Linked DNA regions of Mytilus edulis. The protein of the gene in region 1 purifies or fractionates together with the protein of each later gene. This does not show direct contact. Links are inferred from orthologs where the notes say so. Each region holds a gene or a part of one and is shown on either strand. Other genes may lie near its edges.

The links.
Region 2: the proteins of toll-interacting protein-like (region 1) and cleavage stimulation factor subunit 1-like purify together in Homo sapiens (co-immunoprecipitation; 3 studies listed by BioGRID and IntAct, with this or other methods). This does not show direct contact. The link is inferred for Mytilus edulis from reciprocal best matches to the Homo sapiens genes TOLLIP and CSTF1.

The regions. Positions count from the first base shown.
Region 1 is NC_092353.1:33,032,397-33,039,984, forward strand, and holds the start of toll-interacting protein-like, read left to right. Parts: upstream 1-4,304; 5' UTR 4,305-4,402; coding exon 4,403-4,447; intron 4,448-6,731; coding exon 6,732-6,902; intron 6,903-7,108; coding exon 7,109-7,242; intron 7,243-7,588. Other genes in the region: rab-like protein 3, read right to left, coding at 1,022-1,127, 1,834-1,951, 2,556-2,647, 4,016-4,070. UniProt on the Homo sapiens protein: Component of the signaling pathway of IL-1 and Toll-like receptors. Inhibits cell activation by microbial products. Recruits IRAK1 to the IL-1 receptor complex. Inhibits IRAK1 phosphorylation and kinase activity.
Region 2 is NC_092356.1:6,401,839-6,409,488, reverse strand, and holds the start of cleavage stimulation factor subunit 1-like, read left to right. Parts: upstream 1-4,615; 5' UTR 4,616-4,733; coding exon 4,734-4,795; intron 4,796-7,650. Other genes in the region: tRNA (cytidine(32)/guanosine(34)-2'-O)-methyltransferase-like, read right to left, coding at 1,131-1,233, 1,796-1,865, 2,425-2,545. UniProt on the Homo sapiens protein: One of the multiple factors required for polyadenylation and 3'-end cleavage of mammalian pre-mRNAs. May be responsible for the interaction of CSTF with other factors to form a stable complex on the pre-mRNA.

The DNA.
Region 1 (7,588 bases):
GGTATAGCTGACTTATATAAATCCTGAAACCAAATTTCAGAAATCCTTGTATTGTAGTTCCTGAGAAAAATGTGACGAAAATTTTCAACTTGGCTATCATGTGTAAAATCAGACAAGTGTTCGGTAAACAGTAAGTTGTCAAGTGATGAATCTGAAAACGCATCACACAGTATGACTGACATATATAAATGTTGATACCAAATTACAGAAAGGGTGGATGTGTAGTTCCTGAGAAAAATGTGACGAAAGTTTCATGGGATGACTGACGGACGGACGGACTGACGGACGGACTGACAGACAGAGGTAAAACAGTATACCCCCCCTTTTTTAAAGCGGGGGTATAAAAAGTTATTATTTTTAGTCTCTCATTTTAATAGCAGTTTACAATGAAATGAATAGAGATATTGACTAAGGGGGGGGGGGGGGGGGAGGTTGCTTAAATAACCAACATTCAAAATGAGCATTTTTATCTTTTTTAAAGCTGTAATTGTCAAGCCAATAATCAAGGGTTCAAATTTGCTTAAAGTGTCAATGTCACGATATGGAGGTCCTGGCCATTCATTCATAAAATTTTACTGAGTACACAGAGTAAATATTAGTGCTTAAAACACTAAAATCCAGTATTTAGATTTCTGAGACTTAGTATGATTATCATACTCAAGTTTTGTGATTGTAAGATCTGGAGTGTTCAATTAAAAAAATCAACAGTTTCCTCCAAGAAAAGAAAGGTTTTAAATATGGGGGCAGACCAACAATAATTTGAATCCCTGATAATGGCATCTGATGACTGTTTTTGCATGTCAGCTAATATTATAGAAGATGACAGATAAATGTTGATTGTAAAATTAGTAAAAGTTATTAAAAATTCTGTGACATATGTTTTGAAGCTGAGCAAAGATTGATTCATATAATTTCTGAGCTTTCCAAGTTAATTGCAGTAAACCATCCAATAATTGATTTGAGGTATAATAACAATCTTCTTAGGTCACTACTTAAGAGGAGTCATATAAATATTTCTTACCCATTGTTAAAATCTTTTGCATCATTTTTATTGAGAACCTCACCCAGCCATTTTCTAAGGTTTTGATGAGATTTTCTGTTTGTTAAGTCATGGACTAGAATTATACCTGTAGTAAAATATCAAAATAATAGTTAAATCCTTTCACTAACAATTAAGTAATACAGGTAAATAGGCTAAATTATCAGGGGCGGATCAAGTCATTTTCAAAAGGGGGGTCAAATCATATGGCTCTATTCAAAAATGCAATGATAGTAAAAAAAAAATCATATGAAAAAGACAGCTTTGGGAAGGGAGGAGCATAAGACACACCCTTTGTGTGAAATTGTCGCAAGACTGAAAAACAAATTTAAGGTCCATAACTCTGGAATATCAAACAGGGAAAATTTACAAATTCTTCTTGATTTTTTCTGTCTCATTGATATATAGCCCTCCTTGTATCTATAAATATCTTAGCTGAATGTCAAAGTGACCACAACAAGCATAAAATCTTAAGATTTTTTTTTTATTTTCAAATGTCATTTAAAAATTTCTAAGGGATTGAAAACGGTTGTTTGTCAGTATGGATAAATAATATGCTAATTATGCCTTGGATGTGAGTGATTTGGGAAATCATAGAATTTATGCAGATAAAAATGTATAGTGTTTAATATTGACAAAATGTTGTTCAGCACTGGTAGCATATAGTAAACTGTATAAGTTTAAATCCTGTTAAACAGGACACTCTTTTCAATTTCATTTAATGTTTATGTTGCTTTATTTCATTACTAAATTACTTTTTGAGTTCACCAATACTTTAAAAAAAAATAACTAACCATTTACATTATTGTAAAATATTGATCTACTGTTCTGATGACTGGATGATCCACCTATATCCCACAATTCTGTAAAGTAAGTTTTCTCTGATGGAGTTCCTGCTTTATAGTCGTGAAGCTATAAAATATAATCATTCATAAATATATGTATATCATATTTTAAAAAGATTTCTAGATTCACTTCTATTAAGTTTGATTATGTAAATGTAACTTTAATCAGTGGGAGTCATATATTTATTAATGTTAAAGCTTCAGACAATGTCAGAAAACATTTCTTCTTCATTTTGCTTTACAAGACAAAAACAAACTAACCAACAATAACATTTAATCAAATTGCTTGTAAGCACTGAATGGTAAATATTGCGTTAATTTATCCGTTGGAAGTTAAATTAAATATTGCATTGTATAAAGCATTGGTTGTAGTTGATTCAACTAAAATTCTGGATAATGGGAGATAACTCAATTTTTAAAGATGACTTTAACAATGACATCATTTACAAATGTATATCTTCAGAACAGATTAAATCATATTAGATTGATAAATATCTGGAAATAATCATAGTAGAATGTATAGATTGTTATGATCAATGCACTATATTTTGTGTATCAAAAAGGTAGTGATAAGCCTTGGAAGATTTAGATGTCAAGTCAGTAACATAGCTATAGGGTTTAGCTTGCATTTTCATGCAATCTTTACCCAAAAAGTGGTGTTGAATCCTTACCTTGACCTCTACTGAACAACCAATAGTATAACCTGGATTAGAATTTGGTTCATTATGACACATTAAATGTACCAGTGAAGTCTTTCCAACACCTAATTGTAAAATATATATATGTAAAAGATATAAAACATGTAATATGACACATAAATTGCATTGTGAAGCTGAAAAACTCACTCACAACCAAATTTCCACAGACAAACTAGCCCCACTTTCTACATACTTGTCCCATCAATTTTAACCAACTGGCCCCACAAAGTAAAAGCAGCTCAATTGTTTTGTTTGTTTGTATGACTAAGTTGTCTTTTACTGTAATGATTTCTTTGTACATTCTTCTACCAATATATAAAATCGTTTTCATAACAGCATGGACAACCGCCATGGATGAATACTTATGTTGAATCATTTATCTTTAACTTGTTTGTCATAGGCTACCAATATCAGTGATTTTACGCTCACTCAGTCTGTCAGAGGCCTTCCAATTTCGGATTTAAATAGAATAAAAGAGAAAAGTATATGCAGGTGCACAATAAGAAAAAAATAAAAGTTTAAGTATTCAATATTTTTAAATCAATCCACAAGGTGTAGTCCTCTGCTATTTATTCGTACTATGTGATTTAGCTTTTAGAACCTTTGGTGATCCCACATTTTAAATGTTTATAACATGTAGGATTGAACAAATTGGCATTACATAAAGTTCACCTACATGTAATATGACCCAGTCAATTGATATCCTGAAGTGTGCAAAGAAATGGTCTTGTTCACACTGTTATGAAAATGATAAATATACTGTGATTATCATGTCAGGATTTGGTATTAAGACAGATCTCAGGGGTGGATCCACTCATTTTAAAAAGGGGGGTCCCTACCCAGGATAAAAAGGGGGGGGGGGGGGTCAAACCATATGTCCCCATTCAAATGCATTGATAGATTAATTACGAATGTAACAATAATATTTGTGTCTACAGTTACATTGCATTAAATATATATTGTTACATGAAAGACTGCAATGTATAATGAGACTGAGAAAATGTATTAACTTTTATTTGATATTTACAATATTGCATACGATTTTTTAAACTTTTATTTACAATGACAGTTTCTACAAATCCAGTAAGTTGTTTTTGGAGCATGTTATAGTCCGAGGCATTTTTGGTGAAACCACTCCAAGCAGTAATCACAAACCAGAGATGCGGCATTGTGCACTTCTATTTGGCCTACCCATACTGTAAAGTTTTTTTTTACCATTTTTGATTAAGCACTGTTAAAGTCACAATGTTGCTCCCATAGACTCAATGTAAAAAAATAATTAAAATAAAAACAATTCCCTACCTACCTACCCTTAAAAAATAATCAGCATATGACAGTAAACACACACATACGATACTTTTTTGTTTGGCCTCATACAGAAATTTTAGGTGTAACCTGGTAACAGGTATGTGATAAATTAACTTAAATTTTACCAGAATCGCCAACGACTATGATCTTTATTTTATCATAAGCTTGAAACCCTGCCATGGTCCATTTCCAACTTTGAGTGATGTGTCCAACCAAAACGAAAATAGATTAACGAAGGGTTATCTGCTCTTGATACGTCTAGATACCAGTTTGTCGTGCGTAGTTTCAAAGTTGTCAACATGTTATTTCAACTTTTGAAGTTATAAAGTCCTGATATATATTATTTTGCTATTTCTTTTACAAGAACATTTTATACCATGATTTATCACTTTGTTAACAGTGTAGTCTTTTTTTCCATACCGGCCGTTGCATAAAATTTTCGGTCTTTAGTTTTCCATTACTCATAACTTGTGACTGTCAACAAAAAAATATAAGACTTTTAGCAGTTCGTTATGGCCTCAACAAATGATACCACCTCTGCAACTCGAAGAAATCAGGTATGTTATTTAATAAAGTCAACATTTTTACAGATTACATATATAGAAAATTCGTTTTAATAGGTCCAAAATGGACATATATTTTTTTACCATTTTTTAATTCCTGCTTTAGAACTGTCTAACATGTCTAATATTTGTTGGAAGTAATAAAACAAACAAAAATGAAGAAGTATTGATGCTGAACATATTCGTCAATTCATTCTTTATTTAAAAAAAAAAATGAGAATGGAAATGGGGAATGTGTCAAAGCTGAGACTACTATATGTGTTATAGTACGTAGTCTCAGGTCAAATTTAAGGTTCATGTGGACCCTATGGCTAAAATGGCCGTATTTTCACCTCAAAATTTACTCTGAGTACAGACAAACCTGCGCATCTGTAAAACAATTAAGGCATAGCATGCCCTAGATAAATGAATTTTAAGTATGTTTTATGTTTGAGAAAAATAAAAACTTACCAGGATTTTGCCGTGCACTTTTTTTCATTCCTTCAGAAGGTGCCAAAATAAACTAAGTTGGGAAACAGGTTTGAGAACTTCCCCACAGGTAAAAATTAAAGTGAGCATTTTTAATTGACATGGACATTAAATGGACAATAGATACCTGACAATAATGGACCATTTCAAGGTAAACTCAACTGTTTGTTAATTTCATCATCTTCTGCAGAGACGAAAAAAAGTGTACGGCAAAATCCAGTTAAGTTATGAATTTTCTAAATCATACAATGCATTTGAATTCTATTTATCCAGGGCATGCTATGCCTTAAAACTTTTCCAGATGCACAGGTTTGCCTCTACTCAGAGAAAATTTTGAGGTGAAAATACGGCCATTTTAACCATAGGGTCCACATGAACCTTAAGAGACAACAACCTGACCAAAGAGCAGATAGCAGCTGTAGCCCTCCAATGGGTCTTCAATGCATCAAGAAAATCCAGCACCCCTAGGTTACCAATTTTGAAGTTCGTCTGTTCAATTCTGTAAATCTATAATTTAACCAGGCGTCATTTTAATGGCAAACTTATGACACTAGCTCAACAATCTCTTAACCCTTTCCTCCATAATGTTGCCTTTTTACGCCACCCCCTTTACGGATCCATAATGATGCCTTTTGACGCCACCCCCTTTTCTTCATAATGATACCTGTGTAGTGCCTCAGTTTAACCGGCTTACCTACGAAAAAACTTTATCAGACTTAATAAAACTAATTTGTATCTAATATAACAAGGATATTCATGAGAGGATTTGACTGGAATTTCATTTATGAAATATTCGTTTTTGCAATGCATTAATACTTAAGTTGATAATTATTTTTAGTAAGAAAAATCTTATGTTAATCAAGAATGTAAAAGAAAATCCATGGAAAAAAGGGTTAAGAGCTTATTTTTGTCTTGTTATAAATATGTGAACCGAATCAAAATAAAACTTTCGTATTCGTATAACAGGTGTCATAGTTTGTTGTTACAAGTAATCATGGTAATCTGCTTCTCTGTGTTGTGTATTTCTTTATATTTCGATCAGGCCTTTTTCCTCTATTCTTAAATAATTGTAAGTGTAAATCCTGAATTCCTGCAAAAATAAAGATTTAATCAATGTCCTGGAAATTATCATTCCACCACTCTCTTTTGAATTAGTTTCTTGATTTCATATATGTCAGAACTCTCTTTTGAATTGATTTCTTGTTTTGAAATATGTCAGAACCATTGGTATTTGGGCAATGGATTTTCTTCAGTTAATTATAAGTGATTCAGGACCAAGGTTTTTAAATTAAAAAAAAATCAGAAGCATTTTCTTTAAAAAATACAGGATCACATCATTAATCAGAAGTACAATATGACATAAACAGACAAGTAGGCACACTATATGTGCTACATGTACAAATTATACATTCAAAATGATAAAAAGAAAATCCCTTTAACACTGTAAAAATTCATGAAATTTTTGTAATCTGTTAATTTTTAAATGGTATAATTTTTGCAGCATTTCTGTGTGCAATGTTTTTTACTCTAGATACATGTATAGTCTCATATTTCTTCTTTATTTTTTATTAGTAAACTAATGATGTTTTAATATGATTCATTGAAAACAGGGTCTTCTTTTACATTAATGCATTATCCATATTACAAATTACAAAACTCAGTTTCTGACAAATTGGCCTACAAGCAACAAGCAAAGCTATAAACCTGGAAAAAAGTATTCACTAAAATAAGCTGTTTTACAGATGAATTCATGAACAAGAAACATGATGAAATACATATATGCATACAGAAATATTTTGTTCAATTTTAGGTTATGGTTGGAGAATTACCAGAAGATTTCCTGAGAGTACCTGTAGATGTAGCACAAGCTCAAGTAATGGCAGATGAAAGAGTTGCAAGGCTCGTACAAGCACAGCAACAAGGGGGATTTGTTGCTATCCCAGCAAATACTGTTGGTAGACTTACTATAACCGTTGCACAGGTAAAATACATGTATATAAGTTACTCAACTCAATAATCTTTAACTTTCTTCAACAAGTACTGTAAACATGAAATAAAATCTCTTAACTGGATATAAAAAGGGGTTCATCACTGATTATCATAATCTTAAATATAACTACAATTCATTAAAATGGCTCAGTTTTCTAGCAAATTAAAGTGTGTTTAATTGAATTTTTACGTTTTCAGGCCAAGTTGAATAAGAACTATGGACTAACAAAGATGGATCCGTATGTTAGAATGAGAATTGGTCACTCTGTGTTTGAGACGCCTACAGATTATAATGGTGCCAAAACACCGAGATGGAACAGAAATGTTAATGTGTAAGATATAAAATGTGGTGTCCTAGATTAAGATATAGACAATGTCTTTAATGGAACCTAAAATTGCAAGAACAGTGCTGTGAATTTCAACTACTATTTGGTTGAATATTTTCATTGCAAATTCAATAGGTTACAAAAGAGGTCTGATGAAAAGGAATCCATTTCTTAAATATGAAGAAGAAAAAAACACAACTTATTTTTGATGTTATAAAAGAACTATATAAATTGCTGATATAGATGTAGATCTTCAAATGTATTTATAATAACTAATGACTTATAGTAAATCAGAAGTAAATTTGTAAAACTTGTACATGTCCATCAGTATTCTAACGTCCTTAATGATTTC
Region 2 (7,650 bases), on another chromosome or scaffold:
CTACAAAACAAAATGATATGAGTTTTAAACATAGATGTGATAAAAAATGTAAATACTCCTGATTACCTCCCATTGACAAGAAACAAATTAAAAAAACTCAGTTAGAAACTAACACTTTAGAAGTATGTTTTAAATCCGTACATTTTTTCTTCAATTATATATGCTTCAACAAGTATAAAACATAGTGGACTGTTAAACAAATGCATGTATATTTTAAGTCACTTCATTTGTCAAGTATGTCCGTATCTTTTTAAAAACAATGTTATAATTATAACAGTTTACTAGAACACACCCGTGATATCGCGGGTCCATGACTGAATTAAAGTATATAACTATGCGTAAGCCTTATTTTAGTATTGGTATTGTCATCTGATAAAGTCGTGCCGATTATAAGATACACAGTTTTCTCTGCTTTCAAATCTTTCTGTTTGAACCTGTCGACCTGGAACTTTTCAATTATTGGTAATATTCAGGTCCTGGAATTGAGTATTTTTTAATCAACAGCATTGTCCAATAAAGTTCAAATGTTTGATTCGCTGTTTTGTGTCATGCCCGCTAACAAATTGAAAACTGTACCTATACGCCTTAGTCCAAATTTTTAGTATTCGTATTGTTATCTTAGAAAGTTTTACTAATTAAAAAACTACAATAGGGAACAATTTGACAATGATTGAATTTAGTTGTGTCGACTTTGTGATTATGACCGGTGTATATAGTAAAATCAAATACACCATTTGGTTGTGCGCCTGTTAGATACGGAACGTACAGATAAGGTAATGGGTAACAGGTGAATATACTTTTGGTATCAGTACCGGATTCAACCCGGAACTTGTTAATTATTGGCAATATTAATTATGTGGAAAACAAAAGGGTCTGGAGTGGTGTAATTTTTAATCTACACAATTGTCCTATTTTAGCTATATATAAAGTTGAATTCTTTGATATGTCGTTTTTACCTGATGCCGGCTGATAAATTGGACCTCGTAATTTTAGTATTATAGATATGTTCTTATCTTTGACTGTGCTTTTTGCTATCTATCAAAACTACTGTGTTTTTTTCCATCTATCCAAACCCTTCCTAATAGTAATATTTTTTTTTATCTGTACATAAATACATCTGCATCCTGTACCTTGGTTATGTCCCCTTGAATTTGAATCACACCAGGGATTGGTGCCATAGCCTGCAGATCTACTGCAACTATCTTAACATTGTCAGGTTTCTCTTTCTCTTCTCTGTAATTTACAAATTATCATAATCAAATAAATATTGATGCATATAATTATATTTAATCCTAAACATCACACTTTTTTTAAAGATGAATTTGAAGATATATTCGACTTAAGCCATTTTTGCTAGCAAAGCATTAAAATATGACCAAAACAAAATCCTTTATGGGTAACTATCAACCTTTACCTCCTTTATATATATATATATATATATATATATGTTTGCTTAAATTGTTAAAATCCCTAAAATCCTTAATGAAGAACAATAAGTTAAGAAAAAATAATTGTTTTCGTCTGTCTGTCATCATGGTCATGTGTCTGCGTGATCATTACATTTTTAACACTATCATTACAACTCTCTTCTATACATTCAGAAAACAAGGCCTTTAACTCTTTATCAGTCCATGCAAATTTTACATGTTATTTTGTTAAGTTCACTTATGGTATAGACACACTTGCATTGTTAAAGACCCTATTTTTTCCTTTTAATTTGTGTTTTTTCACTTTATATTTTGTTGGGTTTCCACAAATTATTAATACCAACATGGACATCCATAAATATACTTGCATTAGCTTCTTTGCCAAAACTTGACTCCAACTTCCTGGAGCAGCACACAAATCTACAACTTTGTTCACACCTAAAACATATATAAATATGTCTAGTTTAATTGGACAGGTGACGATATGTATATAAGTAATAAAACCTGGCTACATTTTTGCACATGTTGAGAGGTAAGATTTGTTCAGATCACTGATCAGATGGGTGTTCAGATGAAAACAAAATTTACTAAAGGCTATCAAGTATGAATAGAACAGATATTGACCATTCTGCAATGAGACAGCAACCCGAAAATAAAATGGTGTAAGATACCATCTCAGGGGTCTTTTTTATTATCTAAAATTACCTGATACATGTATTTCATTCTAAGATTCTTAAAAGGATTCTAAGAATCTGGTAAAAAATGTTTCCCATGGTCATAATAAAATGATTTTTTTTCAAGAGTATTGAGAAGATTCAAAATTTAAAGTTCAGTGTACATGTCTTTAAGTATAATTATATGATGATTATTTAGCAATCTTTTGAGAATAAATTAAAACACTAGTGGGTTGTTTGTGAGGAATTCTCTTTAGTAATTTAATTCAGGTCATTAAAACACCTTTATGAAAAAAAATTTTTTTTTTAGATTTAAATCATACCATTAAATAAACTATAATCTTCATTAATTTGCAGTAGTTTGAAGGCACTCCTAGCTCTCCAACCCTCTTCTTTAGCCAGTCTGTAGTAAACATCCCGTTTGTCTTTGCTTGACCGTCCCATATCTTTGATTTCTAATTTGGTTGTCAATGATTCCTAACCTTCTACAATAAAATACTCTATAAATAATAAATTGAAAAATATATGAGAGTTTTTATCAACAAAATCTTCACAACTTTAGAATGTGCAGAAGCAAATGTATACAGCACAACTTAACATATATTTCTTCTTCTACTAAAATATTTATATTCTCATGAATACAACTTTTTTTAATGGAGTGCTTAATTTCATTTCTTGTGTGATTAGATGGTCAATAATATACAATTATGGCCCGTTCAAAAGGTGAATATCCATAATTGTCAATACGAGAAGGTTATGAGAGTGCAGCCCGAAGTCAAATAACTTTTAAGGGTTGACAATTTGGATAATCATTGATTTTAAGGGGCCACAATTATTTTATTATAACGAACTAAAAGTGAAAAGGCCTTTTTAAACACTTACTATATTTTTTACTATCAAACACAAGCTGACGTTTAAAAATACCTCAGGAAAATACATTTGTGTTCTAGAATTTCTCGAATGTACAACAAAGGTAGAATCTTTTAGTAAAATATTGATGGCCCTGAAAAGGACCGTTACTCTACAAGAGATATCATCGGCTGCTGTCACTCTATTCATTTCCAAAGCCTTATTTTTTCGTCTCTCGATGGGCTGTTGTAGTGTAACATGAATGCTGCCATTTTGTTTATTTATGTCTGTGAAGTCATTTTCATGGGAGATAACTCGAGTGCAAATCTAGACACTCAAAAGGTTATTCGCCGGTGAACTTTAAGGTTATTCACTGCTGGTGTAAATTTTAAGGGTTATTCGTCCTCCTTTGCAATTAAATGAAAATTAACTGAATTATTCCATGTCACGTGATAAGGTGTTATCCAATAGAATTGTTTGTAATATATGTAAGGTATAATAATATTCATGATTACTGTTAACTTTTATTGAGAAAGCTAATTTGGTAGTATTGGGTCTGATGGGTTGTATTTATACTAGCTTTGGTGTAGTTACTAAATATTCTAGTAATCGTTTTGCGTTTGGAATAGTGCACTTAGATTGTATGATTCAATGTGTGAGCTGGTGATATTGCTTTAAATTTCTGCAATATCACTGTGACAAGTTTGGTGACTGTCTAAGGTCTTCAGCATGAATGAAATGCTTTTGATCATCAAGACAATATTATAAATATTTTATTTTGTCAAAATAATTCTTAAAACTCTAAAAAGAAACAGTTTAAAAAATGGTTTAGTCTTTAGAATTTGACTAACTTTGTTGTAAAACAGTAAAATCTTATTATCTTTATCATTTTTGTTTATTCTAAAACTGAAAATACAATAAATCTTAAAATGAGGGGGGATAGGAGGGGTCTTGATCCCGAAATCCCGGACTTGAAAAAACGAAATACCGAGGTCCCGAATTTAAATAAAGCAAATCCCGACACCCCGAAATCCGAAAAAAAGGATTCCCGGATCCCGAAAGGGTCAATCCCGAAATCCCGAGCTTAAACCCCCCCCCGATCCCGGAGTCCCGATAAAGGTTCTATCCCCCCTCTAAAATCTATTTCAAAAAAGCAATTTACAAATTAAACACACGAAGAAATTATTTAAGCAAAACCTCTAACAATGGTGCAATCAAGAAAGCAGACCATCTAGAATTATGACATCTTGAAGGGCTATTATATTTTTTTCTATCAACCTGTTCAATTTGATTTTTGACAGAAAAAAATACATACAACTGTAACTACAAAAAATGTACCTATTACAACTATGATTTTTTTTTAAATGTTGAAATATCCTGTTTACTTATGAGATGAGACTTTTTCTCAGAGCAATTTCAAAATCATATCACACTAAGACAGTCTAAGTATACCATGTGACAAATGCCACAGTAAGAATCAATTCATCAATAATCTAATAATAACATGAATAATGTGGATGTATATAATTTTACAGTTACATTTTTGAGGGTCTGGAAAAACATATCTTGAACAATATTCAAGTTCATTTTGTTTCTTAATCGAGAGACTTTGCACCCGGTCACTAAAGCGCAAAACTAACCCAAATACGGAACTTCTTTAGTTTTATCATAGTTCATGAAGAAAAGTATAGAGAGTATAAACAATACGCACGTTGTACATTTTGTAAGTTTTGCCGGTTTTGTGCGTTCTTCCTGACAAATTATCTAAATAGAAGCTAACACAATGACTGGAGGAGGTTATGCAGAAATAAAGCAACGAGAGCTTATGTACAGACTTATGATCAGGTAAAAATGCTTCTGTTCAGAAATTCCAAATAATGATTTTTGAAAAGCTGAAGTTTTGCTAAGCCTGGCCCTAGATAATTTACGTTGATCTATGGCACATCAGTAACATGCACACATTTGTGTGAGGTTTATACATTTTATCATGCACACATCCTTTACCCCATATTGTCAATTTAAATCATATGTCATTAAAAAAAGGTTTTAAAACAGTTCAGCTACATACATATAAAAATTATATCGCTATTCCCGGCTGACCAAACAATCTGTCCCGCTACAACTATCGATGTCATACAACAATCACTTTTCCATTGTGTCATCAGATAGTTTGTATTATGACGTTAAAACTTTACAGGAACCTCAGAGTTTGCGAAATCTTTTTTCCCCTGGTGGTCCTTGAAGAAAATCCACTGGTTCTCACTATTAACAGTCAGGGGTACTACTTAAACAAGTGATTTCAGAATCACTTCTTCAAGTGATTTTGACTGTGAAATATTAAAAAAAAATCTATAAATAAACACAGACTTTTTAAAATCACTGAAACAAGTAATTTGAGAAGATCACTTCAATAAGTGTTTATAACTTTTTCTTGATATTTTTCTCACAAGCTTTATTTTTTTTTTGGTAAAAAGAAAAGAATTCCATTGAAAAAACAACTATGTACATCTAGAAATTGTCTTTTGCTTGATAAGCCTGTCAGTTTTTACAATTTATTTAAAATATGCATTTTCTGGAATAATTTGTAGATCAGGACATAACCTTGAAGTACATGTATATCATTCTAACTCTAAAGAAAACCAATCAGGTTACCTACATGTAATATTGTTGACCTTTGTCTGATAGTCAGAGTAGTTAATGAATATTTGATCACAGAACAATTCCCAAGGGTACTTTAAAATGCTTTAGCGCACTAACTTACTGCTCAAGCGCACTGGTGAAGTTAATATCCATAGATAAAGGGATAATTGATCTATGTAGGAAAATTATACAAAAGTTTGTGAAAATTCAATGAAATTAGCATTTGAAGATCAAAGGAAACACCAAAATCACTTAAATAGGTGATAACTGAATTTATCAAATCATTGAAATAGGTGATAATGAAATCACTTGTTTAAGTACATCAGTTGTGGATCCAGGGGGGGGGGGGGGTTCCGGGGGTGCGCACCCCCCCTTTATTTTTGCCGATCAATGCATTTGTATCGGGAAATATCATATGTTTTGCACCCCCCCTTTGCCCTGGGTGCCCTGGGTTAGCACCCCCCCTTTCGAAAATTCCTGCATCCGCCCCTGTACATGTAGCACCCCTGACTGATTGATTCTATTGAAAAATACTAAAATTGTGTCAGTCCCACGCAAAATTTTGGGGGTAAAATCCTGAGGACTGACCTTTTTCGCGAACTCTGGAACCTGTGTGATTTCCAGTAATGGCGGACAATTATCGGTAAGGTGTATACATACACCTTATCGCTATTTGTCCACCATTACTGGATATTACACAGGTTCCCGTAAAAATTTGACGTCACAAAACAAAATATCTGACGCCACAATGGAAAAGTGATTGTTGTATGGGTCAAAAGTTCAAGCGGCCGGGTCAGCTGGGATTAGCGATAAGGTGTATTGTTGTAGTGACTTGTGGCCGAATACAGTAATTGGGACTGAGCTATTTTTGAATGGGCTGCCCTTAAAAAGGACTAAGATATCTATAGATATAGAAGAACTGTCTGGCTGAATTGGTTAATAGAATGCTGCCTTTATATCCCAAGATTGAGAGGGAGCAGCAGGACCTTTTACGGAACGTCAGGATCAGGTGTATTTAAGGATTGATTTTTTTCAGGAATCAGGAATTCTTTTTTCGAATTTCCGGATGTTAGGATTTAAATTTTTAAGATTTTATGTTTTTAAGCCTGGGATATCCCCCCTTTCAAGATTTAGATTAAGCAGTGTGAGTATAATCTACAAAAAATCTTCCAAACTGTACTGCTAAAATTACAAACTCAAAAACCTTTGTTAATTTATGTATCTTTCTGCCTCGCAATAATGTTAAAATATACATTGACGCTAGTTTTCATGAATTATTGAGTAAATTTGTGTAAGTTTCTGTATCCTATTGGCATGATTGGTGAAAATAAGACAATCATTGCTTGTACTTATATGCGACAATGGGACAAAGCACTGGAAAAATTCAAAGAGAAACCATTATTTTATAAACGCTTCATTGATGATGGTTTTGGAATTTGGACTCATGGCGAACAAAAACTCAAAGAATTTATGGACTTTGCAAACTCAATAAATGACAAAATAAAGGTGGAACTTAGGTACAACAGCAATCAGATTGAATTCTTAGATACACTTGTGAAAATAAAAAATAGTAAATTAACAACAGACCTTTATACAAAGCCAACTGATAAACATATATATGTTCACAGCAAATCATGCCATCCAAAAAATGTAAAAAAGGCAATTCCTTATGGTTTAGCATTACGATTAAGAAGAATTTGTGAAAATGAAGATGACTATCAAAAACATAGACAAGAACTAAAATTACAACTGCGAAAAAGAGGCTATAATGGAAAATTTATTGAAAACCAACTAAAAAGAGCAGATGACTTAAATAGAAAAGAGTTATTACAGAGAAAAAATAAAATTAAAAAAACATCAGAACGCATACCTCTTGTTGTAACCTTTACTGATTTACTACTTGATATTCATGACATTGTGAAAAAAAGAATTAATATTTTACATAACTGTAACTTGATGAAAGAAATATTTCCAGAACCACCACTAGTAGCTTATCGAAGAGATAGAAACTTAGCAGACATAATTGTACATGGAAAACTAAATAAGATCACCAAAATATG